4 linked regions of the Arabidopsis thaliana genome follow. The protein of the gene in region 1 purifies or fractionates together with the protein of each later gene. This does not show direct contact. Each region holds a gene or a part of one and is shown in the gene's direction. Other genes may lie near its edges.

Region 1 (8,749 bases):
CGAAGCACAGAAGGTGAGAGTAGTTTATAGTAATGATAAAAAAGTATTGTAGTCATTTCGAAAGTAGTGTATTTCGAAAGTACGAAAACTAATCAAATATTTTGTACTATAGGCGCTGCAAAAGATGAATGGTGAAAATTTGCGCAGTCGTGAGATTTTTCTTGACGTGGTTGAGTTAGCTCCATACCCTCTCCGACCCAAGTAAATTGTTTTTTCCATATGGAGATTAGTTTCTCTAAATTATCTCTATAGTTTTGATGTGTCATTACAAAAGATTAATGCTATTTTATTTTCTTTGTTAATTAGGTACAACCATGCAGAGAAACTTTGGTAAGGGATTTAACTATTTGCCTTTCGAGTATTGTTGTCAATAGCACATTGGGTGAAGTTTGTGGTATACAAGGAGAGATTACAATGGGTTTTTTTTTTTTTTTTATTCCAGGCACGAACGAGAAAGTCTTCTGAAGAAACAGAAGGAATATGAGATGTTGAGCGAGAGGACCGAATTCTGCGGTAAGAAGATTATCTTCTCTTACGACGACGAAGACCATATGTTCTGATATTAAATCATTATCTGCCTTCACTATTATGTGCCGTATACAGTATACTATTTTAACTGATTTGTTTGTCAAAACTCAAAACCATAATCTCGGACACCAAATACAGTCTCAACTTGATTCAGTCTTTCGTATCTTTCACCAAAGTAAAAAAGTAGTGGTAACTCAAGACCTAGACATTGGCTTTACTATAACCTTTGTACATAGACAAAATCGTAAGCTTGACCCGAAGCTTATGAGTATTCTTATGAGTTATGCCACAGTAAAAAAAAGTAACATTTAAAACTATCTTCTTTTACCCAATAAGATTTGCCAAATTTGTAATTAGGAAAAATGTTAACTTTTAAAAATAGAAGGTCGGTTAGAACCCTCTATATCATTCAGAGACTTCACCGCTAACTTTTGTAAAGGTCCTTTAGGGTTTTCGGATTCGAGCAAAAACAAAATCTCCGCAATCGAGAGAAACTCTGAGATCGGAATCAATGGAGTCTACAATATCGTTGAAGGTCAACAAAGGAAAAGGCAAAGGATCAAAGGGAGCTTCCTCTTCCGATGACAAATCCAAGTTTGATGTCGTTAAGGAATGGACCAATTGGTCATTGAAGAAGGCTAAAGTCGTCACTCACTATGGCTTCATCCCTCTGGTCATCTTCGTCGGCATGAACTCCGATCCCAAACCTCATCTCTTCCAGCTCCTTAGCCCTGTCTGATCCATCCAATTTCATCATCAACCTAAATCAATCGAATCGGTCTTCCTCTGGTTTGGCTTCTTCATATCTTTACGCGTGTTCTTAGATTCGCCGAATCTTCTTTTATGCTTTTTTCATTAGCTAGTTTTTGAATACTTTCTCTATGGTACTGTATTGAATAACTTTAGCTTATGATATAATGTGAAATCGAATTTTATGTTTTGAAAATCTGGGAATTGCTTTAAAGATTGAAGTTTGTTGGAATGTCTTGTATCAATTTTACAATGTGTGTTATATGAGGTCGATCTTGAGGTTTTAAGGCAACACAAGCCAAACCTATTTGCAACATCTCAACCAACTCTTCTTCTATACCCATTTGCATCATTAGCTCATTATCGAATACTTCTCCTGTCCACTCTTTCGACACCACTGACCTTATCCAGCTCGCCAAGTCCATGTTTTCGTCTAGTGATAGCGGACTCGCGGGTGATTTCCCTGTTAGAAGCTCGAGTAACACCACCCCGAAGCTGTATACATCAGAGAACTGTGTGGACTTTCTTGTATCTGTTATCTCAGGTGCGTGGTAACCCGAAGAACGTAAGGTAGTCTGCGGGAGAGATTTCGTGATGTGTGTTAAGCCGAGATCGCAGATGCAGCCGTAGCATTTCGAGTTCGTGAAGATATTGGAGGATTTGATGTTACCGTGGACAAACTTCCCGTCGTCTGCTTCGTGGATTATAGCCAACCCTCTTGCTGCACCAATGGCGATTCTTAAACGGGACTCCCAATCTAAAGGTACTTGGCTCTCTCCTGCAAAAGTTGAGTTATTGGTTTTCGATACTGCATACCAAAGAAGCATAGACAACGGAATACAGAAAGATAGCTTACCGTGCAGCATCTCAAATAGGTTTCCTTGACTGTAATAACTGTAAACAGCGAGCTTATCGATCTTGGAATAGTAGTAGGCTTTAAGCTCGGCTACATTATCATGCCTGATTCTACCAACGATCTCCATTTGTTGCTCAAACTCTCTTCTCCCAACAACCACCTCCTCCAATCTCTTCACTACTACCGTGGCTGTGTCTTCCACAGCTACTTTGTAGGTTGTAACATGAGCGCCTTTCCCCAAAATTTCTGCAGATGCAGCTAACAAATCATCCAAATCAAAGGTATAGTTACTTCCTCCAAAGAAAACGATTTTCCCTTCATCATTGTCATCTTCTGGTGCCCAGTTTCCTGAATGAGACAAATCTCTCTTCTTTGACTTCCATGAGAGTTTACCTTTCATGCGCCGTTTATTTCGCAAGCAACAAGCCATCATCTCCGCTCGATTGCACCCAGAATGTTCAACAGGAAAGCAAACACTTGTAGAGGTAATTTAAAGCGTCAAGATCGAAATCAAATGTTCTCCAAGGCTATAAGCTTGGTCAAACCTGGTAGAGAGCTTAGGATGATGCTCTTTCCAATGGGCCCGAGAGCCGGTTATATTGACTTTCCGATGGAGAGCATATAGAGAACGGAGAAACTCTGAATCTTCTCAAGAAGTCAAGCAAATGGTTCTTCCTCTTGTTCCTCTCGAAGCAGAAAAGCCAAATATATATCATCTCAGCCATTGTTGAAAAATGTTTCGTCTCTATCATGGAACAGAGAATCTTTTGTAACAGAAGAAAATTGTATTTTAGTATATAGCTAATCATTTTTAAATGCGAGTAGAAAAGATACGCCGGTCGTTAAGCCGGCAAAAAAATCTTCGTTATAGTATTATCTTAAGTGAATAAGCATGGTTTTAGCCGCAAACACATCGTGGTCGTTTTCTTCTTCTATTAGATTTTCCCACCCAAAACACTGATTATTACCAAAATGGATTTTTTCTTTTACATTTTCCCTTTTGTATGTATTTATATTTTATAAATAAGAAAAAAGTATCAACAAAGCAGAGTGGCGCAGCGGAAGCGTGGTGGGCCCATAACCCACAGGTCCCAGGATCGAAACCTGGCTCTGCTATGTTTTTTCTAATTTTACCGTATTTTAAACTGGTTTACTTTGGTTCGGACCAATTCGACTCGGTTAATCAAAATTCCAAACCGAAAGTTACATAATTATATAACTAAAGAAACGAAAACGGCGTCGTAAATAAAGAGCGTCATCTTCACCTAACAAAAACTCTTCACCAGTTTGTTAAGTCAGCCTTTTGATTGTCTCTTGGCTCCATCGACGAGTCCGTCACTTTCACCGTATAAATATCTCCGCCACTCTCTCTCCCCCATCACCACCAACCTCCGTCAAAACCCTAAACCACTATCTCTCTCTCTCTCTTCATATCGCAACAATGGAGTCCGTCGCTCTATCTCGCATAGGTCTCGCCGGTCTCGCAGTCATGGGACAAAACCTCGCCTTAAACATCGCCGATAAAGGATTCCCAATCTCCGTCTACAATCGAACCACTTCCAAAGTCGACGAAACCTTAGATCGTGCCTCCAACGAAGGAAAACTCCCAGTCGCTGGTCAATACTCGCCTCGCGATTTCGTTCTCTCGATCCAACGGCCTAGATCCGTTATCATCCTTGTCAAAGCCGGTGCTCCCGTTGACCAAACCATCTCTGCTCTCTCTGAATACATGGAGCCTGGTGATTGTATCATCGACGGTGGAAATGAGTGGTATCAGAACACAGAGCGACGAATCGTTGAAGCTGAGAAGAAAGGATTGCTTTATTTAGGTATGGGAGTCTCCGGTGGTGAAGAAGGAGCTCGTAATGGTCCTTCTCTTATGCCTGGTGGATCTTTCACTGCGTATAACAATGTTAAAGATATTCTTGAGAAAGTTGCTGCTCAAGTCGAAGATGGTCCTTGTGTTACATACATTGGAGAAGGTGGATCTGGGAATTTTGTGAAAATGGTTCATAATGGGATTGAATATGGTGATATGCAGCTGATTTCGGAGGCGTATGACGTGTTGAAGAACGTTGGTGGATTGAGTAATGATGAATTGGCTGAGATCTTCACGGAGTGGAATCGAGGTGAGCTTGAGAGTTTCTTGGTTGAGATTACTTCGGATATATTTAGGGTTAAGGATGATTATGGTGATGGAGAGTTAGTGGATAAGATTTTGGATAAGACTGGTATGAAAGGTACAGGGAAATGGACGGTTCAGCAGGCGGCTGAGCTTTCTGTTGCGGCGCCTACGATTGCTGCGTCGTTGGATTGTAGATACTTGAGTGGATTGAAGGATGAGAGGGAGAATGCTGCTAAAGTTTTGGAAGAAGCTGGATTGAAGGAGGATATCGGTTCTGCGTCTCGTGGTGTTGATAAGAAGAGGTTGATTGATGATGTGAGGCAAGCTTTGTATGCTTCTAAGATCTGTAGTTATGCTCAAGGGATGAATTTGCTTAGGGCTAAGAGTTTAGAGAAAGGTTGGGACTTGAATTTGGGTGAAATGGCTAGGATTTGGAAAGGTGGGTGTATTATCAGGGCGGTTTTCTTGGACAGGATCAAGAAAGCTTACCAGAGAAACCCGAATTTGGCGAGCTTAGTGGTTGATCCTGATTTTGCTAAAGAGATGGTTCAGAGGCAAGCTGCATGGAGGAGAGTGGTGGGTCTTGCTATATCTGCTGGGATTAGCACACCAGGAATGTGCGCAAGTTTAGCGTATTTCGACACTTACAGGCGTGCTAGATTACCTGCGAATCTGGTTCAGGCGCAGAGAGATCTCTTTGGAGCTCATACATATGAGAGAACCGATCGTCCTGGTGCATACCACACTGAATGGACTAAGCTTGCAAGGAAGAGTCAGTAAAGCATGGACACAGTCCCTTGATTTGAGGTTATTCTCTCTCTCTCTCTCTCACACTCTGTTTTTGTGCTTATTCTGAATTCAATGTTTCCATGTTGTTGTGTAGGGCTTTATTTCATCATAGAACACGAAAACAAATTGTTTCAGCTTATTTTTGTTGAGTTATAATAAGAAATGCAATGCCCCTTGACTCTCTGTATCTGTCTGTTGATGATATCTGGAGAGTTTCCTTTATTTTCTCTTATGTATGGCTTGGTTCATTTTTCGAATTTGAATTTGATATCTATGTTGAAATTTTGGAAGCTGAAGTCTTCATAATTCTTCTGTAGTCTTCTTGCTCGTTAAATTGACGAATTTTTTTCCGGTCTAAATGGCGCCAAAACTGAACAATAAAACGGATTGGGCTATTAGAGAAAGAGCCCATTATTTGTCATAAAACGTCTTGTTGGGTTTAGAGCAATATAATTAACCCAACCAAAGTACAATTATCTTACGGGGGACACAGCTAAACCCATAATAAGATAACTGATCTCGTGAGTAGTTTAACAAATCTTACTTCTCGTGATTATAGGTAGTTTAACAAATCTTACTTGTCTAATAATATTTTGTTATATAAGTTTGTTGTCCGTAAAACAACACAAATTTCCACTCAAAATGTAATGAAGTAATTTTCAAAACAGATGCCCAAAATGTAGTCAGTGATTCATCGAGTTCGTTGATGCAGCATGTTCTTCAACCCTTCCGTCAGGACATTTTAAAACCCTTGCTCAAAATTTCTTGGACATTCGGATATAGTTTGCAACGCGGGATTAAGTCGCAAATAACATTTGTCTGACAGGTTACATGGTAGTTTCTCTTTCCCCTGTAACCTGGTTACGTTCTGATTGTCCTTTGTGGTTATAATAATAGTCTCCAGTAACGGCTGATGAACCAGACATGTTATGTAATCTTTTGGAGTAGTGAAATCGAAGTTGAGCCCTTAAACAATAGAAATTCGTGAATATTATTGTCTAATTCATCATGTGATATTCTGATGTTGCGGTGAGAGTCATCAGATTTAGTCTATTTTCCACGGAATGAATTATTTGTTGCTTCAATAATTACAAACAAACAAAAGATTCCTGGAAAATATGGCCCATGTGGTTCTGGATTAGACAAATGAAATAACACAAAGGTATATTGATTGGACAAACAATATACACTATGTTTCAGCTACTAAAATTCATCGTATATATGATGATAAATTCGAAGAAAACAATTCACTCTCTACCAATTTACTCGAATATTAAAAAAAAATAAAAAATTGATCAGATTAGCAAGCAATCTCATGAAAAATGGATTAGTACTTTAATCAATCGTTGTAACATAAGGACGATTCTCTTTAATTTCTAGTTCAAAAAATAGGACATGCTCGATCTTTTATGAGTTTAACGATCGCTAGAAAAGTTAGTGTCTATGTTTACGTTACATAGTATAATAAAACTGATATTCTAATACATAATTACACATTAACAACAATTACAAAAAAATACATTTAGTTATACTAATTTTTGTGTTTGTTATTTGCCAATTGTCATCAACAAATTATTGGATGCTTGCCCCACATTATATTGTCTCCCTACCTCATGATAATAAACTCTTTCTTGAATCTAAGAATTTATTCCATAAATAATTCGTTCAATTGTGCCGAAATAATTTGGTAAATATTACTATTTTCATTGCCGACATTTGTTAAATAATAACTATAATTAAAGAAACTTTAGCTATGCTAAATGGAATTGATTCTATTGATGTGATATAATTGGATATCCAATCATTTTTTATAACTCTTCCAATCTCAAAAAATTTAAAGTCTTATAATTTTGAATCTATTCTCTTTTCTATAAAGGTTCTAGATGGAGATGTATGGGATATGGCGCATTTAGGTGCAGGAACAGACGAAATAGTATCAAAATTCTATAGATATTAATAATTACATCAAATTCGTCATATGTCTATATATATCTTTTTCCAATATGAATCGACTCTCTTATGATTATATATTATCCATATTTTAATATCAATTATACTTTTTAATTAGTTGGAGAGACATTAGATGATGATAACCATGTTACCACTTCCATAGAATTTACACTTTACGGGACACGATTCAATGTTTTTTTGTACTTGTTGAAGTTCAATGTACATAAGATGTCATTTAAACCTATATAATATAGATTCGTATTACTTCTTTTCATAAAGCTAAAAACAACTAATAAGTGAAAAGATTAATATATTAATTATTTATGTGGTGTATGTTATGGTTTTGTGATATGCTATAATATGGTTTCTTTCTAAAAACGCCGTCGATCTTATCTTATTGGGGTTATTTTCCGAACAACTAAACTTTCATTCATGATTTAGCAATTACAATCGATCGAGATAAACATCCTTAGATATATCCGATGTGCATGCAAGACGAAAGATTAGAACAACGAAGCATACAACATGATACAAAGATAGAGACACAAACTCAACAAAGTTTGACAATACATGAGAAGAGTTGCCATAGCGATCAAAGATGAGATCTAACAAACTTCAATTCAAATATTTCAAACGACTTAAAGATAATCAACTTAATATGTTATTGGTTTTCTTTTCTATGATTTTTCTTATGAATTTTTTTGTGTGTGATATATGTGTATAAGCAAGAAAAGAAAAAGTATATGCAACGATTTTTTTTCTTTTCTTTATAATGTCTTCATATTAAAATCAAAATGTATATATCCACCAATTATTTTTCAGTTTGATGGTTCATAGATAGATTTATGTGTGATACATTTGTTTAACAACTAAAGATTTATGTGTGATACATTTGTTAAAAAAAAAAAAACAGGTTTTGAACCTTAACTAATGCAGAAAACTAAACTAAACTTTATGGTTTACGAAGCTGCATGTTCTAGACAAACGACTGCTCAATTTGGAACATCAAAGTACAAGTTTATATGCTAAATAATATTACTATAATTAAGATAAAGATGCATCTTACCAAGTTGGTCATTACATAATGATACTTTATGTCATCGATATTCTCCTTCTCTCTTTACATATATATACATTAGTATATAGTCATATTAATTATATGATTTGGTATATTGCTCTGTGTACGTATTATACATACATGAGCCTAATAATAGAGAAAAGGCTATGAAAGAAAGGCTATGTGTGACCAAGATTTTGTAGGTACTTATCTTGAATCTTTGAACTTCATCAGAATTGCAGTACAAGTACAAAATTTAAATCCTTTTATAAGATTTATGTTATAAACAATTACAGTGGGTGTGGGTTGTTTGATTCAAATAATTAATGAATATTATAAATATTGATTCAGATATATGTATAGTCTTCTATAAACTTGATTTTCTTGTAGTTAAATAATTCTTCTCAACATGAGTTAATTACTTGTATTATTATTTGTACTAAATTGTTAAAAATATATCTATACATTATGTGTATTTTAATAATATACTTTGTCCTTGTACTTTTTTTTTCTTTTTTTTTCTAAATGTCATTGTACTTAAATACATAATTTTTCGTCTTTTTAGCCGTAGAAGCAATAGGCAGAATATCCACGTGTACTAATAGGTTCTATGTAGACAAAATTAAGATCCCTTTTATATTTTTATTTCTTCAATTTAAAACAAAACAATATTCTTATGTATTTATATCAAAAA
Region 2 (8,394 bases), on another chromosome or scaffold:
CAGAGCAAATAAACGAGACATTAACGCCGTAAATTTTTTCTGTTAACCTATTTAACGACATGACTCAAATGGCAAGTCAACAAACACTTTGTCATTTATTTCGAAAGTCAACAAAAACTTTACGATTTATTTATCTTCCGTGAAGTTCAAAATTAAATCGTCCCAAATTTGAAAGACATTTTTCCCGAATATCATTTATGAATTATGATACAATGTTACTAAAAAAATCATTTTTATGTCTCATGCATGTAGTAACGAACACACACTAATATAGTAACAAATGATCAGACGTTACTCTTAAAAACTAGAGTGGTCATCATGTTCAAACTTTAAGGTACATTAGACCATCTAATTAGAACCATGCGTAATTAGTATTGTTAAGTAACCAAAAGAAATAACGACGATCAATAGTAAGTTTTTTTTTTTTGTGTGTGTAACCAATAGGTAGTACTTAAGTTAAATGTATATTATTTCATTCCTATTTCTTTAAATTGGTATCGATTCATTCTAAAATGTTGCATGGATTTTTTTTAACATCTTTAGATAAAGTTTTATGTTCCGTTTTTTTTTTCAGGTGACAAATTTCAAATGTGGGGGTTTTGTCCTAGGACTAGGCATGAGCCACAACATGTTCGATGGAGTCGCCGCTGCGGAGTTCCTCAACTCGTGGTGCGAGATGGCCAAGGGTCTTCCTTTATCCGTCCCACCATTCTTGGACCGTACGATTCTCCGGTCACGAAACCCTCCCAAAATCGAGTTCCCACACAATGAATTCGACGAAATTGAAGATATTTCCGACACCGGAAAAATCTACGATGAAGAAAAACTCATCTACAAATCATTTCTTTTCGAACCCGAAAAGCTTGAGAAGCTCAAGATCATGGCGATTGAAGAAAATAACAATAATAAGGTATCAACATTTCAAGCCTTAACCGGGTTTCTTTGGAAATCAAGATGCGAAGCTCTACGGTTTAAACCGGACCAACGGGTTAAGCTTCTGTTTGCGGCGGATGGACGGTCAAGATTCATCCCACGTCTCCCGCAAGGATATTGCGGGAACGGGATTGTGTTAACCGGTTTGGTGACATCATCGGGAGAATTAGTTGGGAACCCTCTTTCTCACTCGGTGGGTTTGGTCAAGAGACTGGTGGAGCTGGTTACGGACGGCTTCATGCGGTCGGCTATGGACTACTTCGAGGTGAACCGGACACGGCCGAGTATGAACGCGACACTTTTGATTACATCCTGGTCAAAATTGACATTGCATAAACTGGATTTCGGTTGGGGAGAACCGGTTTTCTCTGGACCGGTTGGTTTACCAGGGAGGGAAGTGATCTTGTTCTTACCAAGTGGTGATGATATGAAGAGTATCAATGTGTTTCTTGGCCTTCCTACTTCAGCTATGGAAGTGTTTGAAGAGCTTATGAAGATCTGAAAAAGAACATACATTTTCATAATCAAATTATGATATATTCTACCAAATTATAAGCAAAGGAAAATTATAATCTAGTCATTATTTATACATGTTATATTTGAATTCACGTTTGTATCCATTACAAAAATTTATGTAATTCGCAGAAAATATATATATGTCAAATTAAGTTATCGGACCGGATCGGGTCAAAGAAACCGGATTGGTTAACAAAGTCAAACAAACAAATATTGACTTGAGTTTCAGATTCCAGTAAAATCAAACCGGATCGGGTCTGAATTTAAACCACCGGGTCGGCTCCATCTAAAATCTGAAGATCATCTCCGCCTTATCTTGTTGACTATCTCTGTACTACTTACGAGCGCAAGTGAGAGAGTAACAGAGAAACGTAGAGATATAGCAAAATGGCTGCGACGCTTACTGGATCAGGGATTGCTCTAGGGTTTTCGTGCTCCGCAAAGTTCTCTAAGAGAGCTTCTTCGTCGTCCAACCGTCGCTGCATCAAGATGTCGGTTTCGGTAGAGGAGAAGACGAAGAAATTCACTCTTCAGAAATCTGAGGAAGCTTTCAATGCTGCGAAGGTTAGGCTTTTCAATTTCCATGAATTCAGTCAATAAGAAATGTTTCTTCAGATTGATTACGCCTTGATGTTCTGTTGCTTTGGTTTTGTGGGATTTGATCATATTTTTGGTTAAAGTGATTATCTTTGTTACCCTTCAAGGAACATTGCTAACAAAATAAGATTACTTGAGATAGAATCATAATCTGAGATAAAGTTTTTGTTTTTATTGGTTTCATTCTGTTCTGATTATTGAAATTGGTTTGGTTCCTTTGTGTAGAACTTAATGCCTGGAGGTGTGAACTCACCTGTACGTGCTTTCAAATCTGTTGGTGGACAACCAGTGGTGATGGATTCTGCAAAGGGCTCACGAATAAGAGACATTGATGGAAATGAATACATTGACTATGTTGGATCTTGGGGACCTGCTATAATTGGTCATGCTGATGATGAGGTTTGTTTCTTTCCAGTTTTGATGATTTTTAGATAGCTGAAAGTTTAGTAGTTGATACGGTGATGTGTCTAGTGCAGGTTCTTGCTGCTTTGGCTGAGACAATGAAGAAAGGAACAAGCTTTGGTGCTCCTTGTCTCTTAGAGAATGTTCTTGCTGAGATGGTGATTTCAGCTGTTCCAAGTATTGAAATGGTTCGGTTTGTTAACTCCGGTACAGAGGCATGTATGGGTGTGCTACGTCTTGCTCGTGCCTTCACAGGGAAACAAAAGTTCATCAAGTTTGAAGGTTGTTATCATGGTCATGCAAACTCTTTCCTTGTCAAAGCAGGTAGTGGTGTAGCTACTTTGGGTCTACCTGACTCGCCTGGGGTCCCCAAAGCAGCTACTTCAGATACTTTAACAGCTCCATACAATGATATTGCTGCTGTTGAGAAGCTTTTTGAGGCAAACAAAGGAGAGATTGCTGCCATCATTCTTGAACCTGTTGTTGGTAACTCGGGTTTTATTACACCTAAACCAGAGTTCATTGAGGGAATACGCCGGATCACTAAAGACAATGGTGCTCTTCTTATTTTCGATGAAGTCATGACTGGTTTTCGTTTAGCCTATGGTGGAGCTCAAGAATACTTTGGAATCACACCTGACTTAACAACTCTTGGGAAAATCATCGGTGGTGGTCTTCCTGTGGGAGCATACGGTGGAAGAAGAGACATCATGGAAATGGTAAAGCTAGAGTTGTTAACAATTGAACCGAATAATCTTTTGAATTTGCTGCAAGAGATTGAGAAAGTCCTGATCCTTTATCACTCATGTCTTTTTGCAGGTTGCACCCGCAGGACCGATGTATCAAGCTGGTACGCTAAGTGGTAATCCGTTGGCTATGACAGCGGGTATACACACGCTGAAGCGGTTAAGTCAGCCAGGGACATATGAATACTTAGACAAGATCACAAAAGAGCTTACAAATGGGATACTAGAAGCCGGGAAGAAAACCGGGCATGCGATGTGTGGCGGTTACATAAGCGGGATGTTCGGTTTCTTCTTCACGGAAGGACCCGTCTATGATTTCTCGGATGCAAAGAAGAGTGATACAGAGAAGTTTGGAAAGTTTTTCAGAGGAATGTTGGAAGAAGGTGTCTACTTGGCACCTTCTCAATTCGAGGCCGGTTTTACTAGCTTGGCTCACACTTCAGAAGACATCCAATTCACTATCGCAGCGGCCGAGAAGGTTCTAAGTCGGCTCTAAAATGTCTCTGGAAGCTTCCAGGGAACCATGAATGTATTTGAAATTTTTTGATGTAGAGAAAATTAGATTCAATTGAGAGCAAGCAAGCAATCTCACAAAATTTAACTGTGGTAAGAAAAGTCAAAATGTCTATGAAGATTTGTTGACTTTTTAAAAAGAGTTCTTGCTTTGCGTTAACGTCTTACAAATCACACAGAATGATTTCTATTGCAACACACTTTTTCATCATGTAGCCAACATCATAATCTGAGTCATAAGACGATATATTTCTCCACGGAACAAGGGAAGTGCATCTGCAAAGTTAAGCTTCCATATTCAGTTTTCTTCACATTTCTATAGATTCCCTTGCCCATTTATGTCTTTGTCCGACCTAAGACGACCTAGAAAGTGGATACACAGTCCATCCAACGAGAAAGTTTCACTAGTCTCCTACTTCCCAAGGTTACGTCTTTCATATGTTTAGTTGCATTTTTCTTTCTTCACATCTTTGCTTCTAGCTGTAGTTTGTTCAATCCAACCGACCGAGCTGCTTTTCATTGTCTTAAAGAATGAACAAGAAACATCCTGATGATTATGTGAAGATGTTTTGGAGACCAAGCTGATTCGAACTTTCTTTCTAATTCGGACACAATTGAGTTGGAATTATTTGAAATTGGAAAGGCCCAGTAAGGAAGTGATCCAATATTACTTGCCTTAGACAAAGACTTGGCCCACTCAGTCCATACAAAATATTCCTTTTTATTTATTTAAAAATATGAATACTCCTTGACTTAGGCCAATCAAAATTTATAATTGATATTTTTTGTTAAAAGAATTTATGATTGATAATGCCAATATTTTCTGTATTGAAACATTTTTTAAATTTTTCTATTTTTTGTTTTTTTTGGTTATATCCGAAGAGTAATGTGACCACGTTAATTCTCAAGTCAAATATTATCTTTCATAATTAGAAAACTTTATCGTATATTATTAATATTATGTCCTTAAAATAAACAGAAAACATTAAGTATGACCAAAAAAAAAAAAGACAGAATCATGATGGATATTTTAAATAGTTTTCGTTAAATCAGAAAATAGGAAATATACATTATCCCCAATAGATAATTACACAAATTTTTATAAAGAAGTAGAGAAACTAACTCCGGAAAATTAATCCTCTACTTCGCACACTTGATAAACTCAGAAAAATACGACAGCGTAACGGGGTACACGTGGTGGTTGGTATATCAAGTTGGGGTAAAGTCAACATTAACGTATTTTTATTCATGTAGCTGCTGCGGAAGAGGACTGCTTGCCATGTTTAGGGGTTTGTCCATCTTCAATCTCAGCCCTTCGATCATTTCCGCAGGTACACTTGTTCGCTTGACGAACCACTGAGATTGGCTCAGGGGATGAAACTGTGCCTAGCTTCAACATATCGAGGCTCACCTCCGGTAACTTAGCAGCTTCGACTTCTTTCTCTCCTAGATGCGGCGACGTTTTACAGTATTTGTAGACAACGTAGAGTATCATTTGGAGTGCACCGAGAGCAAAACCAAGCACATTCGGGAACTGCACGAAAAACATTTGTTGTAGTGGCAATAACATAATAACATTTTAATATACTCACTTTTCCACTTTCTAGCTTGTGAATAAAGTACGTTAAAAACGAAATAAAGTAAAGTTTATGGCAAACTTGTGCGGCATCGATAGAAGTTACGTACAAAATATAATTTCTATGTAACAATAAAGATAAAAAGAACTTAATATATTATGAACTTCTTTTGCAAAAGCTAAATCTTTTAATGTTTCTGTGGAACATAAAGCGAGAGTTTCTTTATAATTTGGTTTATTTTTATCGTAAAGGACGATACCAAACAAAAGGTTTTGCTTTCATTAATCGTTTTTTTTATCTTTTGCCAATCCATATCTCTTTTTATCTATGAATCTATGATTAGAACCTCAAAGTCTCAGGTTCATTAGAAACAAAAGCACCCACTTCATGTAATATACTGTTATGATAATGATAGACATATGATTATGATGCTTGACGACATGATAATCATGTTAAAACATATATATTCATTATAGCAAATAGAGAGAGATGAAATGGCTTACAGCAACATAGATGTCCTTGAGAGCAAGACCATAAAGGAGCCATATGACAGCACTGATGGTAAGGGTTAAGGATAAGCTAAAGGGCATGTACTCCACACTTCTTGTCTTTATTACCGTCCTCTATATATAATTAAACAAAAATATATATGTTAATTATTATTGTTACCAAATCATAATTTAATCACTTGGTAAATTAGCTATTTCGTAGTACTTACGATTATGCTTAGAGGAGCAGCGAAAACACAAACAGAGAATCCGACACAGATTCCTCCGATAATCTTAGCACGTGTGGCTCCTTTTACCAAGAATTGGCAAAGAAGGAGAATCGCACAGAATCCTCCAAAGTTCATAAGAAGTAGCATCTTCACTGTCAACATCTGCATCCATTAAGAAATGTTTTATTTAGCAACTTCATTTGAATAATGTTATGAACAACGTAACATGCATGTCATATGAACTGAGGATTAATTATTAGTTACCCGAGCTGGCTTGGGAGCGTAGGCAAGGAACATAGAGATGTAGATGGTTTCGATGAAGCAACCAAAGGCGTTAATGGTTACGAGGAGGAAGACATCTTTCTTCTGTGTCGCATAGTAAAGCCAAAGCGTCGCACTGAAGAGCGCCACAACATAAGGAATAGACTGAAACCCTTCTGTTGTCTTCTTCTTCCAAATCCTATAGAACGTTGGCCTGCGTCCAAAAAAAAACTGAATATTAGTTACTCAATTATATCGGAGAATATTGATGTAACGTAGTCATATATATTCTGATTTGTTGCATATATATTACTTACACAGGAGATAGGAACACGGCAAAGGAGATAAGGTTGCCTGAAAATTATACAAGAATATAGCAAAAATATGATATTAAGAAATCGATATTAAATCTCTAGAATTTAGATATTAGGGTTGCAGAACTTGATCAAAAATATTCATAAGAAATGAACACAACGTTAGTATCATACCGAGCAAGCCAAAGACAAAGGCCCATGTGTTTTCAGTGTTGAAGAGACTCATGGTATATAAGTTGTTAGGAGAAGGAAGAAGAAGAGAGATAGCACTTAGTTTTGCAAGTGTTTTCTCTTAATGTAAAAGCTAATGGCACGAGCTTAGTGTTTCGGGGACTTCACGTATATATAGGGGTTAGGGCTAAAGGGAGGAATGGGGTTTGTGTGGGAGATGGAAAAAGGAGAAATGTTTGTGTGAACAATAATATTTTGAATAATGTTTGAATTTCTTATTTATTTTAAAAAGCGTTAATGTCATTGTAGTTGTATAACAAAAAAAGACCCGCAACAATAATTCACACGCTAAACCATTACCAAATCATATACATTTTGACGTACAAATAACAATTCTGTTACCAAATAACCTTTTTTAGGTTTTGGCTTAAGAAATAAAACATAATTAGTTATGTTAATAATGCTTGTCAATCTCAGCTGTTTAGGCAAGCTATTTTCTTAAGGATTATGTCTAGATTCTACGTATGCATCTCTAATTCTCTATATATACAATGACATAATTATGACCTAATCATTTTACGATTTTGAGGGTTTTCACCAATCCTATTATTTAACTTATTTACACAACGTAATAAGTATATTTGCCAACTTCGGTTTAAACCAATGTTTTGAAACCCGACCCGGACGATGAACCGGACTATCTTCTGGGTCACTGGGTCATCGGGTCAACCGGGTTGGACCACGGGTTAATTAGTTAAAATTTATTTAATAAATTTAATACTAATAGAAATTTTAGAGTATTTTATAATAAAAAAAATTTGTAGTATTTATAAATATAAAACAAAAATAATCATATCATATTTAATCAAATATAAAATTATATTATATTTAACAAAATATAAAATCATTTACACCCAAATATATATATATATATATATATATATATATAGAAAAAATCAAACAATAATAATAAAGTGGTTAAAAATTTGAAATCCAATAAATGTCTAACACCGTAACAAATATATTAGGAGATCATCAATGACAGAAATAAATTAATAAAACATCGTGAATTAAAACAACTAATCTCGGTTGTCTCTCTCACCATTCGATTCAATTTTAAGGCGGTATTGTAAAGTCATCAACAAAATCTAAAACATCAAATGAATTTAAGAACTGAAAAAACTTCTAAAAATAATTGAATAAAGTCTAAAATCCCATATTTTATTGTAAAATCAAGAGAACTTTTTAAAACCCACACCCGACCGGTTCAACTGGTTCACCGGGTCACGGGTTAATTGCGAGTTTTTGTGGGTTTTTTCGGTTTTGAACTTGTTGGGTTTTAGCACTAAACCCAAACCGGAAAAATGTTCGGATTACGGGTTAACCGGTCGGACCGGACGGTTCGGGTCGGGCGTGAAAACACTGGTTTAAACTAATATTTTTTCTTAATTAGTGATTAGTTCATTCACTTTTATTCTACATGTTTCCTTATGTTGACGCTTACGTGATTTCGTTGCTAATTTAAAACCAACCAAGTAACTACAAATGATCAATCTGAATGACTATATACCTTGCAAAATCAATTTGCATGTGTAGCGAAAAATTATATTTTAAGTTATTGTGCGTTTAGTTATATATAGATATAC
Region 3 (8,711 bases), on another chromosome or scaffold:
TGAAAAACACTCGATTTAAGTTCATAATAGTTTTTAAATTTCTTTCAAATATTGTGTCTACAGGACAACGATACTTGCGTAAAAGTTTAATCGTCTGTTTTACCATCTCCGCATCAGAGATATTCTCTTAACAATGTGAGTTATATTCAAAAAGAGACTTCAAGTCTTGAAGTTTTAGTAATAACTTATTTTAGTAATAATTTATTTTATCTAATAACACATTCATATAAGAATTGCTTTATACAACTTTTAGATCTTTAGTAGTCAAAGATTGAACATAATCTTCTGGATATGTCACTTATTATCCATTCATTACTTCTCTTTCTCGAGATGATGAAACTTCAAGTTCATCCATCTCGTATTGAATTCCACTCTAGAATCATAATGTATTTATATCTCATCATATTAACTTTGAGATTTGGAGAACTATACAGCATCGATGATTTTAATTTTGTATTCCCATAGAAAACAATGTATATGCTCTTCTAGAATCTTTTAATAAGATTTTATACTACTTGATATACTAGATTATTTCATCGTTAGAAATGTTTTTTTTTTTTTTAAAATTATTTTCTCAACTTCTGGTGATAATTTAAGTTCTTGAAAAAACTTTGACCATCAAAAATATGATATTTTCTTAAAATACATTAAACTAGTCATTCATGAAAATTTCTATAAGTGATTATACCTTTAAATTAAGTTATTTATCAATCAATTTATTTCATAAAATAATCAAGTATTATATACTAATACAATTTTAATGCAATATTGTAAAACCAATCACAATAAAACTATTTTGTGCAAAATTTGGATTTTACATATATCTTGACAAAACTTTTATTTAGGGTAATATGAATTCGTGTAAGATTTAGGTAAAATAATTTCGTGCAAAATTAGGGCAAAACCATGAACAATTTTATTTTATTTTTTTATTTTTTTTTTAGATACCACAAAGATTTAGAGAAAAGAATCTTATAAAAAGAAAAATTATCTTGCAACGTTTTTAGTAAAAATAATAATAACACAATCAAATATATGGAAATCAAATATTTAATAGGGAAAAGTCAATATCTAAAAGTGATAAGATATGTATAACGTTTTAATCAAAGGAGTTAAATAAGGGATATCATATCAATCATAAATGGATTTTAGATAATATAGTATTTATAAAATGATATTGAATATAGATGCAACTATTCAAAACTGGAATGCTAAAACATTAATACATGCTTACATCACCCACCACCGGGCTATGAATAGTTACAAAATTAGTTATATAATTATAAAATTGGTAATTTATATATTCAATATTGTAATAGTAAATCACAAAGATTAACAATTAACAAGCATGATTCTCTTCTTTAACGATTTTCTTTGTAGAATCATTGAATCATGCGATAGTAATTATAGAAACAAATGATAAGCATGATTCTCTTCTTTATTGAATCATTGAAAACATGCTTTTACCGATCTATACTATAATCATCGATCGACTCATATTGTTTTGTTTCAATAATAGAAAATAAGTACTATGAACCATGAGTCGATAAGTAAACATGGTTCTTAAAAAAAATGTAAGAATCTCTATATCTACCTTTTAGAGCGTGCTGATAACGTGTTGTAAACAGAGAAAGAGATAGAGGAAATCAGTGTATTATTCCATTGAGATAAAGGGTTCTTTATATAGGAGTACAAGGAAAGGGTAAAACCCTAGAAACATCTCGATGATGGGCTTAGATAATGGGCCTTATAATGGGCATCCTCTTGATTCATAACAATATGTTGTTTCTTCTAGTTTTGGTCCCCGCTTCCTCACCATCTCTAGCTAGCATCATACATTTTCTTTATTTTATAATATATATTTTCGACATAGCATGTAGATTTTCTATTTATCTTTTTTAAAATTTACACCAATCATTGATAGTATATGTATTGTAAAATAAAAATAAAAATAAAAATATCTACAACGCATGGTCATATTCAAACTTAATTCTAATATTTACCCAAATGATTTTCTTTTCTAGCGGTTGAATTAACTTAGAAAAAGAACAATCTTCACTTAGAGATCCCAGTGACGATTTGGACGCTTAATTATTAGGGTTATCGACTCTTATTAAGGTTCTTCTAAAGAAAGAAAATGTAATACTTTGAAGATGAAGCAAGACAAACCGAAGAAGACAGCAGATATATATATATATATATATATACCGACCAAGATTCGTGTACGTAAAAGCACAACTGAGATATGAATTTGTTGGCATGCAAATAAATTACAGATGTTTGATGCTAAGACCAAATGAAATTAAAAAGGGATTTAGGGATTTTGTATCTGTGAGAGGAACAGTCCATTGAATCAGTGAGATAGGATACTTTAATTATACTGTCTTCTTCTGCTCAGCATGGTTCGAATCCCCATATCAATCATCCATTGTCTCTTTCACCTTTGTTTTCATAAATGGCAAAAACTTTGGTTGCAATTTGCGACAAAGGATGACGTATTCGGCGCCATTTAAAGTTGGAGTTTTAAAAGTAAAAACTATTACTATATCATGTGAAAATATAATTAGATTGTGAAGTATAATTTTTAGAATTCTGTCGTTTACCTCTTAGCATTGTTATTTGATTAGACTAAACTAATAATTCAATTAAATAACAAATCTAATTTTTTCATAGTCGAATTTCATTAGTTAATCGTTTAGTTGTTTCTCTCGTGGATCTTCACATCATCACATGTGCCAAGAAGTTAATATTAATATATAGTCATTTTCCGAGAAGAGTCTATTTGGGTTGTTTGAGTAAAGCGTGGATATCTTTTTCCAAAGACCTTTTGAGAACTTATCAACCACAATCCCTTATATATGGTTGAAGCTGTGATCACTTGTATTACAATTATATTAACAACTCAATCGGCATTAACACAATTGCTTTCGATTGGATCTATCAGAAATCGGCATTAACACAATTACATTATATATCACGCTAGGTCTGATCAGCTCCATGTCAATCTCGTTGTTTGTGTGCTCTCGGTTTAGTTATGTGACTAAGAAGATGAACCGACTTGGATAATTGATTGCCTGGTTGCAATATTTTCGAAAGTGATAGGATATCAACTGTTTCTTTTCAATCCATAACTTACATACTTAATGATATAACCACATATATATAGAATCGTGTGGCTGTCCCGAAACACGTGACCATACCATATCGTATTCGAATGCACCTACTTATCAACTATTTGAACTGATGTGGATTTAAGAATTGGTCATATATTATCCTCCATGCTTCATAGGGTAATATCCAGAGCGATGTTGCAACAGATCCTTACTTGATGCGTGGCCAATTGATGTTGCTTGTGTGAGTTGCCATAGATCCTAAAGCCAAGGAATACATTTTGGAATCCATAGAAGACATGAACAACATTAAGCAAAGCCTTCTGTAGATTTTTAATTCTTTTTCGTTGTTGAGGATAGTGATATGTACATTAATTAATTTGGTTCCGTATAATTTTTTAATTAATTAGCGTAACACTCCACCCGAAAAGGTCCAAAACCTTAAACAACACACGAAGCTCGTAGACAAGCTGACCAAAACCTTATTAGTTTTGTTTGCAAACCCCAAAAGAAAAAACATCTTTGGTGTAACAAAAATGGCTTCGTCTTCCAAAGCACTGATCGAATCCATAGGCTCTCTTGACAAAGACTCATACGTTTCTCTCTTATCAAAACTCATAGGCGAATCTAAATTCGTCCAGAACAATCCGCCGGAGCTCATCCCTCAAGAGGACCTAATCGTCAAACACGTCCTTGACTCTCTCCGTCCTTATAGCACAGAAACTGGTGGTGGTCCTCTGGTGATCAATCATGTCGCGTATCATTCAGGTAGAGGTAATCTCATCGTTGAGTACCCAGGATCTGTTCCCGGAAAGATCTTGTCTTTCGTCGGAATGCATATGGACGTCGTCACTGCGAATCCTGATGATTGGGTAATTTTGATTGATTCTAAATATGTGATTTTGATCGGTGCCCATTAGAATTAGCTTAAAATCTGATACTGGGTTCTGTTTAATTTCCGATGAACTGATCTGAATTGTTCCAAATTTCAAAGCTTTCTCTGTTTTGTGTACTCTAGGGTTTAATCGGTTACATTGAATTTTGGATTCTCTGGTTGACTTCGGTTTTTGTTCATAGGAATTTGATCCTTTCTCGCTAAGCATAGATGGTGATAAGCTTCGTGGTCGTGGGACAACAGATTGTCTTGGTCACGTTGCTCTTGTCACTGAACTCATGAAGAAACTCGGGCAAGCCAAACCGGCGTTGAAATCAACGGTGGTGGCGGTTTTCATCGCTAGCGAAGAGAACTCTTCCATTCCTGGTGTTGGTGTGGACATGCTGGTGAAAGACAAACTTCTTGATAAGCTCAAATCCGGACCCTTGTTAGTTTCCATTCTGTTAGAAATTTCTTGGGGAGTTTTTAGATGAAAATTGAAGGATGATTGAAGCTTATTGATGTGTATTCTTTTGAAGGTATTGGATTGATACAGCGGATAAGCAGCCGTGTGTTGGAACTGGGGGTATGATACCATGGAAGCTTCAGTTTACTGGAAAGCTTTTCCATAGCGGTTTAGCTCACAAGGTATTTTATATATGAATGGATTACTCTAGATGAAGTTGCAAACTTGGCATTGATCTTTTCTTCTGTTTGTACGAAGGCGATTAACGCGATGGAGTTAGCAATGGAAGGGCTTAAGGAAATCCAAGCTCGGTTCTACAGAGACTTTCCGCCTCACCCACAAGAGGAAGTTTATGGTTTTGCAACACCATCCACCATGAAGCCAACACAGTGGTGTTGTAAGTTTTGGAATCTATAGCATGTTGTGTGCCTAATGACTTTACATGTTGTCTACTTACAATAAATTGTTTGGTTTTGCAGATCCAGCAGGTGGAATCAACCAAATCCCCGGAGAATGTACTGTTTCGGGTGATGTCAGGTTGACTCCTTTCTATGAGTAAGTCTCTTCACACTTGTCTTACTCGTTTCTTCAATGCATTTAGACACACTTTAATGGCTTTTTGGTTGTTTTTGCAGCGTGAAGGAAGTGATAACGAAGTTGCAAGAGTATGTTGACGACATAAACGGTAACATAGAGAGGCTCGAAACCCGTGGTCCTGTTTCAAAATATGTCTTACCAGATGAGAATTTACGGGGAAGGTTTGGACTTTCTTCTTCTCCTGATTCTATTCTTTCTCTCATTTTATTGTCCCTACCGAAATCTTAAAAAGTCTTAATTGTCACTTGCAGGCTCACGTTAAGTTTTGATGAAGCATCAGCTGGAGTTGCGTGTAATCTTGATTCTCCCGGCTTTCACGTTCTATGCAAAGCAACCGAAGAAGTTGTTGGACACGTGAAGCCTTACTCGATCACCGGTACTTTACCTCTAATCCGAGACCTCCAGGTAAACCATTTGATAAACCGTACTTTAACTAGACTCAAGACTGATCTTTCAGAGTTCTCTACAACTTACTCTTTCTAAACCAATGAATCATGCTCTTGGTTTGTAGGATGAAGGTTTTGATGTGCAAACTTCAGGATACGGTATTACAAAACCCAACTCGGATTCTCTCCTTTGCTGAATTTCCTCATCTTTGATCCTTATCTATTTTAATTTTGTTGCAGGTCTCATGGCTACATATCATGCAAAGAACGAATACTGCCTTCTTACAGACATGTGCCAAGGCTTTGATGTCTTCATCAGGATCATTTCTCAACTTGAACAAGTATAAAATCAGATGGAAGATCATAAAATAAAAGCTTCACATAGCTACTCTCTTATTAACTAAATGGTTCTATACATTTACTTTGCTTCTATCTATTTGTACAAGTCAATGGTGGCTCAATACTTCAGACACTTTACAAAATTTAAAACAAAGGATAATGTTTTATACAGTTATTTATCTATCTTGAGTTGTTGTCACCTTCAGTTTCAAGTTTCTGAACACGTAGCCGGAGTCTTTGCTGATGATGGTGTAGTTTCCAGAGACCATTACCCAATACAACGGCTGAGTATATACCATGTGTGATGATAGGAGCAAGAAGATTGTTTGTCTGCAATATTTTCAGTTTGGTATCAACGATTTTACTACGACATGTCGAAAAAAGAAATGCGTGAACAGAAGAAGTAAAAACCTGAATCCATTCAAAGCCGAGGTATAGACCCAAAAGCCCTTCAAGAAGAGGAGAGTAGATTTTCTTCATCTGTCTTCGCTCATACCACGCTGCAAAAAGGAACATAGAATCCTTAGTGTGTGATAGTGAACATATCTAAATCCTTATGCTAAACTGAGTTTTACGAACCTGCAAACAACTTCTTCAGCTCGTCTCGGGCAGAGCGAGTTTTCAAGACCGGTGCCATTATATAAGTTGGATCTAAGAGAAATAACAAAACAAAATCAGCTATGAGGTTAAAGGTTTTGTAACATAGAGAAATGTTTTAAGTGTAGAAGGAAACCTTTAGGGGAAGCAGCTATGTAGTAGAGAGAACCAGTGAGAGCGGCTGTAATAGTGGCTGCAAATACTTGAGCAAATGGTACAAATGGTGGCAAGAGTCCAGTCTGAAAATTCAAACAATTAAAAGTCAAATACACTTAAACGAGTTCAAGGAACAAGAAGGAGACAAGGAAGAACAGAAAATCTATAATACCAAAGCAACCATTCCTCGAGAATCCGAGATAAGATCTGTGCCCCTTAGGAATATATCAGCTAGTGCACCCTGTCAAAACAATATCAAAACCACGAAAAACTTCACATACCTAAAACAGAAAGAGAAACAAAACAATTGAAGACTATTAGAAGGCAAAAACCTGAAACGCAGCACGATAGAAGAGCTCTTCTCCAACTGAACTTGCAGTAACTACTAAGATAAACTAAAGAAACACAAGACAAAGGTTTAACATTTTTTCTCAAAGATTCAATCAATAAGATTCTGTGTTGAGGGTTCTTCACCTGCCAAGCTGACATTCCTTGAAAGAAACCTCGAAGCTCATCATCTTCAACATCTCTAATGGCACGAGCATGAGGCGACAATTTAACAACTTCATCCTATACAATAAACAACCAAATCTTTCTCATAAACCCCAAACCTTCATAGCCATTTAAAGAGACATTCATTATCACTACTAACTTACATCAAGAATGAAGAGAAGAGCCATAATAGGTGGAGAAGCATAACCAAGTCCAGCGATAATTGTATCTAAAGAAGCATTAAAACCTCCTGTGTAATCTATTCCTGCTACTTCACATATGAATCTTCCTGCTACTGCCATTCCACAATATATTCCTATATTTTCCCAAATCACCAAATCCAAAATCATTGTTTAAATAAAGTTTCAATTTTGAAATTTCATAAAGGAAACTTCTTTTTCGAAGTTGCTCAATCATCTCGTGACTCACCGATTCCATAACTCAACCTAACAATAGCACCGATCTTATCCCAATCCTTAAAATCCCCGCCGCTTCCGCCGACAAACTCGCCGACGGAAGTAACCTCACCTGAAGGTCCAGCTAAACCGCCACTACCAGCACCAACAAATTCGCCGCTACTGAAACTTCCAACCGACGTTACATCTCCTGAAGTAACAGCTAAACCACGCGCCGCCGCATCTCCGTCGTCGATCACTTCGCTACTGCTCTGTCCAGCGGAAGACGACGATGCTTTAATCGACCTTAATTTCTCTAACGAAAGTCCGTTTAACCGTGAATTTCTCTTCCCGCTACGTTTCTTCAAATCCGATCTCGAACACGCCGGAGAATCGAAAAGCTTAGAACTACTCCTAAATCCACCGCTTCCGCTACTACACCAAGATGAAGAAGAAGAAGAAGAGAGAGTGACTCTTGTGGAACTACAAGACAATAAAGGAAGACCCATTTATAACATGCGACAACTCTCAGGCGAAATTATCGGAATAACGCCGGTGATCTCGCCGGAGAGATTCTCTTCTTCATTTAGTAACAGAGAGAGCGAGAGAGAATCGGTGACCGCGCGTTTTTATTTTCTCATTTTATTGTAATAAATAGAAGTGGAGACTTTGGACCGTTGGATGGTAGAGAATTATTTGATCTAACGGTTGTGTATAGTTTAGTAATAGAGACCACTTAAATTTGACAAAGAGTAATTGAACTTGACTACGTTACCTTGATCATTGATTTTGATTTGTACCACTTTGCATGTCTACACGTTACCCATTCGTTTTTGTGCAGCACATAAAATGGGCCATAGTTTTAGTTAATGGGCTTTCGTCAGAATGAGACTCATATCCATTGCTTGACATCTTAACATATATGAATGAGACTGAGCATGTATAACATATGTATCATGTGGGTTTCCCATAAGGTGTTTCTTTTGGGAGGCGTTACTATTACAACATATGTAACATTCTTCGTATTTTTTTTTACACAAGAAAATGTTGGGTTTTGTTAATTATGTGAAGTTTATCCTACGAAAAAGGATACACAAGAGTTGTGCCTAGAGGGATCTTAAGTATGTTTGAAAGAGAAGAATGACTTTGATGGAGTGTATGAGCTAGGGAAATTCTCATAAAGAATATGTCTTGGTTTTCTGAAAGAGAAAAAAAAAAAAACTCTAAAAACAAGTGTCTTGGGAGGGAGCACCACGAACACCTCAGGGAGATGGTATGCTGGATATGGAACTATCTATT
Region 4 (4,403 bases), 8.8 Mb from region 1:
TATCCTAATTGACGTTTTTCCAAGATTGTTGTGTGATTGTCGACAAAATAAATTTTGGACATACTCGTTTTTTTTTGGGCAGTACATTCGAGTAAATACGATTGAAGAAATCATGCATTTTTAGTTGATCGAATACATTGTATACGATGCTTCCATACAAATTTTGGTTTGTTTGTTAGGTGACAAATTTCAAGTGTGGAGGGTTCGTGCTAGGACTAGGCATGAACCACAATATGTTCGATGGTATCGCAGCCATGGAGTTCCTCAACTCTTGGGCCGAGACGGCTCGTGGCCTTCCTCTCTCCGTTCCACCTTTCTTGGACCGCACACTTCTCCGACCACGAACCCCACCAAAGATCGAATTCCCACACAACGAGTTCGAGGACCTCGAAGACATCTCCGGCACCGGAAAACTCTACTCCGACGAGAAACTCGTCTACAAATCCTTCCTCTTCGGACCCGAAAAACTCGAGAGGCTTAAGATCATGGCAGAGACGAGATCCACGACTTTTCAAACCCTAACCGGGTTTCTGTGGAGAGCTCGTTGTCAAGCCTTAGGGCTTAAACCTGATCAACGGATCAAGCTTCTCTTTGCTGCAGATGGAAGGTCGAGATTCGTTCCGGAACTTCCTAAAGGATATTCCGGTAACGGGATTGTGTTCACTTATTGCGTTACAACGGCAGGTGAAGTGACTTTAAACCCTCTTTCTCATTCAGTGTGTTTGGTCAAAAGAGCCGTTGAAATGGTCAACGACGGTTTCATGAGGTCAGCGATTGATTACTTTGAGGTGACTCGAGCTAGGCCGAGCCTAACGGCAACACTTCTGATCACGTCGTGGGCAAAACTGTCGTTTCATACTAAGGATTTCGGTTGGGGTGAACCGGTTGTATCTGGACCGGTCGGTTTACCTGAGAAGGAAGTGATTCTGTTTCTGCCATGTGGTAGTGACACGAAGAGTATCAATGTGCTGCTTGGACTTCCTGGCTCGGCTATGAAAGTGTTCCAAGGGATTATGGATATATGAATCATTAAAATTATTTATGGTTTAATGTTTGAATTTAAATTAACTATGATTTAAAAAGCAAATAATGATGATATATCAATTACGTGTTTGTGGTCGTATGAAATATTGTTCGTCGGTGGAGCAAAAATGTAACTAAGATGTTAAAGTATCAAGTTTAATAAAGAAAGCTATTGTGTTTACTAAAATGTTGTTTGGTAAGAGCTCAAATCTTTGATTTTCTTCTTACAATACTTTTTCTGACATAGAGATCAATTACAACCTACAAGTCACACCTTACAAAATAAACTTATCACACATAGCAAAAATATTATCACGAAAATTAAATCGTTAGAATTGTCTTTTTTTGATCAACGATTTGTCTAAATTCTGAAATTTTATGGTTAAAAGAAAAAAATCATTTGTAAGATTATTTTTACATAAACCAAAATAGTAAAGCTTTATATTCGATCGTATTTGAGTAACAATTTTTAAATTTCACACAAATTCCATGCTTTTGAAAAGCACCAAATTTAAACGTATCATAAATCAATTTAACCCAATATTTTAAAATAAATTAAAATATTTGACTTGACTTTCGTATTCGGGTCGGATCCACCCGGATTTGACAAATAAAAACCCGGTGGTTGGCCATCGCCTTATCTTGTTGACTCTTCTTCAATCATAAGCCCACCCACTTCGATTACCAACTCCGACCGCCAGAGACAGCGAGTTTCAGATCAAAGATGTCGGCGACGCTTACAGGATCGGGAACTGCTTTGGGGTTTTCGTGTTCCTCGAAGATCTCGAAAAGAGTTTCTTCTTCACCAGCTTCTAACCGATGCTGCATCAAGATGTCTGTTTCCGTCGACGAGAAGAAGAAAAGTTTCAGTCTTCAGAAATCTGAGGAAGCTTTCAATGCTGCTAAGGTAAATTGATTTCGTCCCACCGATACTTTTTGATTCTGGTTGAAAATTTTCGGAAAAGATCAGATTTTGATGGACTTGACTGAATCATGCCTCTGTTTTGCGCATAGAAATGTGATTCTGAATGTTGAACAAATGGTGTCTTTTTCATGATAGAATCTAATGCCTGGAGGTGTGAATTCCCCTGTTCGAGCATTCAAATCCGTTGGTGGACAACCTGTTTTGATTGATTCTGTTAAAGGCTCAAAAATGTGGGACATTGATGGAAATGAGTATATTGACTACGTTGGCTCTTGGGGACCTGCTATTATTGGCCATGCTGATGACGAGGTTCTTGCGGCTCTAGCTGAGACGATGAAGAAAGGAACAAGCTTTGGTGCTCCTTGTCTCTTGGAGAATGTTTTAGCTGAGATGGTTATATCAGCTGTTCCCAGCATTGAAATGGTTCGGTTTGTTAATTCTGGTACTGAAGCGTGTATGGGTGTGCTTCGTCTTGCCAGAGCTTTCACTAACAAAGAGAAGTTCATTAAGTTTGAAGGGTGTTATCACGGTCATGCTAACGCCTTCCTTGTTAAAGCTGGTAGTGGTGTTGCCACTTTGGGGCTACCGGACTCTCCAGGTGTCCCTAAAGCAGCTACTTCAGATACTTTAACAGCTCCGTACAATGATCTTGAAGCTGTTGAGAAGCTCTTTGCTGCGCATAAAGGGGAGATTTCTGCGGTAATTCTCGAACCTGTTGTTGGTAACTCCGGATTCATCCCTCCTACTCCGGAATTCATCAACGGTTTACGCCAGCTTACTAAAGACAATGGTGTTCTTCTCATCTTCGATGAAGTCATGACTGGATTTCGTCTAGCCTATGGTGGAGCCCAAGAATACTTTGGAATCACGCCTGATCTAACTACTCTTGGTAAAATTATTGGTGGGGGTCTTCCCGTGGGAGCATACGGTGGTAGACGTGATATTATGGAGATGGTAAGATCTGGCTCTAGACCTTTAACAAGCTTCAAAACTAGGGGTGGCCATGTACCAATGTTGCTATTCTTTTTTTTTTTTTGTAGGTTGCTCCCGCTGGACCAATGTACCAAGCCGGGACTCTAAGTGGTAATCCGCTGGCAATGACTGCAGGGATTCACACGCTGAAGCGGCTAAAGCAGGCAGGAACATATGAGTATTTAGACAAGATCACGAAGGAACTAACCAACGGAATCTTAGAAGCCGGAAAGAAAACCGGGCATCCAATGTGCGGGGGTTACATAAGCGGTATGTTTGGATTCTTTTTCGCAGAAGGACCGGTTTACAACTTTGCAGACTCAAAGAAGAGCGACACAGAGAAGTTTGGTAGGTTTTTCAGGGGAATGTTGGAAGAAGGTGTTTACTTTGCACCGTCTCAGTTTGAGGCCGGGTTTACGAGCTTGGCTCACACTCCCGAGGATATACAGTTAACAATTGCTGCGGCTGAGAGGGTACTGAGTAGGATCTAGAATGTTCCCAACCCTGAGTCTAGTTTCACAATCTTCATGTTTTGGGGACGATGTGTATGGTTTGATGAGCGGATGGAATAATTCTTGTGTAGTGAGTTGAATTTTGTTTCATCAGTAGAGCTTGAGATTTTTTGTATTTTAAGATCATCTGTTAATGTAATGGTTTTATGTTATCTCCTAAAGAAATATTGCTTTTAATACCAAACCGATTTGCCTTTCCGATTATTTCTGAGTACTATGAAGAATTCAGAAATGCATATAGATGGATGAAAATCGCATTGCTACTCAAATCGACATATCGCAGCAATGTTTTGGAATGAGTTTTGGATGTCTTTAGCTTGCTGAAACTAAATATATTTGAGAGCGTCAAGGTGGTGTAGCTATTGCAGGATATTGATTGGACCTAAATCTCTCTGTTGAAACCAAACAATTTCCTTAGAGAACAAGAAAGAAGAAGTGGATGATAAGGATTGGGTTTTAAGAATTCAGGAGTAAAATTGTAATCTAATCTCTCCATTTTTGTTAGTTTTGTACATTTTAAGTAGTCATGCTATATGTTGGAAAAAAGGAGTAGCCATGCTATATACCTAATTTATACAAACAATTGTGCTACAACTATTAAGCACAGTTTTTGTAGAAATATGTGTTATTATTAATGAATGATTCAAACATGATTTTTCAACATGTGATTGATGTAACCTTTTTTTGTTGGCAGCCTTGTGATTGAGGTAACCGTTGACAAAAAAGCTCAATTACCTAATCTTATCAAGAATAGAATGATAATTTCAAAGGAGAAAAAGGGCTATTCGAAAATCAAAAGCACAATGACACAAACGTTTTTTTTTTTTGTAATATTTGATAAAGGGATCGGATCTGAATACGGGAGTATGTGTTTACTTTGGTGGTGGTGATGTTTTGAGTATACTATTTGTTTTTTGTTTTTTTTTGATAGGAACAGTTTACCCTATTCAGACAAGACATGTGACAAATAC

What was found.
Region 2: the proteins of AT5G41670 (region 1) and GSA2 fractionate together in Arabidopsis thaliana (co-fractionation; one large-scale study listed by BioGRID). This does not show direct contact.
Region 3: the proteins of AT5G41670 (region 1) and AT4G17830 fractionate together in Arabidopsis thaliana (co-fractionation; one large-scale study listed by BioGRID). This does not show direct contact.
Region 4: the proteins of AT5G41670 (region 1) and GSA1 fractionate together in Arabidopsis thaliana (co-fractionation; one large-scale study listed by BioGRID). This does not show direct contact.

The regions. Positions count from the first base shown.
Region 1 is NC_003076.8:16,661,937-16,670,685, reverse strand, and holds AT5G41670 (6-phosphogluconate dehydrogenase family protein), read left to right. Parts: upstream 1-3,514; 5' UTR 3,515-3,575; coding exon 3,576-5,039; 3' UTR 5,040-5,066; exon of another isoform or gene 5,067-5,660; intron 5,661-5,716; 3' UTR 5,717-6,012; downstream 6,013-8,749. Other genes in the region: AT5G41690 (RNA-binding (RRM/RBD/RNP motifs) family protein), read left to right, coding at 1-13, 113-201, 307-330, 443-560; AT5G41685 (Mitochondrial outer membrane translocase complex, subunit Tom7), read left to right, coding at 1,040-1,267; AT5G41680 (Protein kinase superfamily protein), read right to left, coding at 1,488-2,567. UniProt on the Arabidopsis thaliana protein: Catalyzes the oxidative decarboxylation of 6-phosphogluconate to ribulose 5-phosphate and CO(2), with concomitant reduction of NADP to NADPH.
Region 2 is NC_003074.8:18,047,861-18,056,254, forward strand, and holds GSA2 (glutamate-1-semialdehyde 2,1-aminomutase 2), read left to right. Parts: upstream 1-1,710; 5' UTR 1,711-1,836; coding exon 1,837-2,013; intron 2,014-2,271; coding exon 2,272-2,445; intron 2,446-2,522; coding exon 2,523-3,167; intron 3,168-3,267; coding exon 3,268-3,690; 3' UTR 3,691-3,918; downstream 3,919-8,394. Other genes in the region: DCF (HXXXD-type acyl-transferase family protein), read left to right, coding at 575-1,435; SWEET11 (Nodulin MtN3 family protein), read right to left, coding at 4,954-5,241, 5,788-5,907, 6,003-6,164, 6,267-6,477, 6,581-6,617, 6,752-6,803. UniProt on the Arabidopsis thaliana protein: Transaminase converting glutamate 1-semialdehyde (GSA) to 5-aminolevulinate (ALA). Involved in the biosynthesis of tetrapyrroles.
Region 3 is NC_003075.7:9,912,270-9,920,980, forward strand, and holds AT4G17830 (Peptidase M20/M25/M40 family protein), read left to right. Parts: upstream 1-3,543; 5' UTR 3,544-3,646; coding exon 3,647-3,982; intron 3,983-4,187; coding exon 4,188-4,447; intron 4,448-4,523; coding exon 4,524-4,632; intron 4,633-4,708; coding exon 4,709-4,847; intron 4,848-4,929; coding exon 4,930-5,005; intron 5,006-5,085; coding exon 5,086-5,208; intron 5,209-5,298; coding exon 5,299-5,452; intron 5,453-5,558; coding exon 5,559-5,592; intron 5,593-5,673; coding exon 5,674-5,780; 3' UTR 5,781-5,918; downstream 5,919-8,711. Other genes in the region: AT4G17840 (CAAX protease self-immunity protein), read right to left, coding at 5,953-6,102, 6,184-6,272, 6,352-6,423, 6,506-6,608, 6,698-6,766, 6,858-6,920, 7,000-7,095, 7,182-7,333 and 1 more.
Region 4 is NC_003076.8:25,450,210-25,454,612, forward strand, and holds GSA1 (glutamate-1-semialdehyde-2,1-aminomutase), read left to right. Parts: upstream 1-1,590; 5' UTR 1,591-1,747; coding exon 1,748-1,930; exon of another isoform or gene 1,931-2,083; coding exon 2,084-2,902; intron 2,903-2,988; coding exon 2,989-3,411; 3' UTR 3,412-3,636; downstream 3,637-4,403. Other genes in the region: FACT (HXXXD-type acyl-transferase family protein), read left to right, coding at 180-1,025. UniProt on the Arabidopsis thaliana protein: Transaminase converting glutamate 1-semialdehyde (GSA) to 5-aminolevulinate (ALA). Involved in the biosynthesis of tetrapyrroles.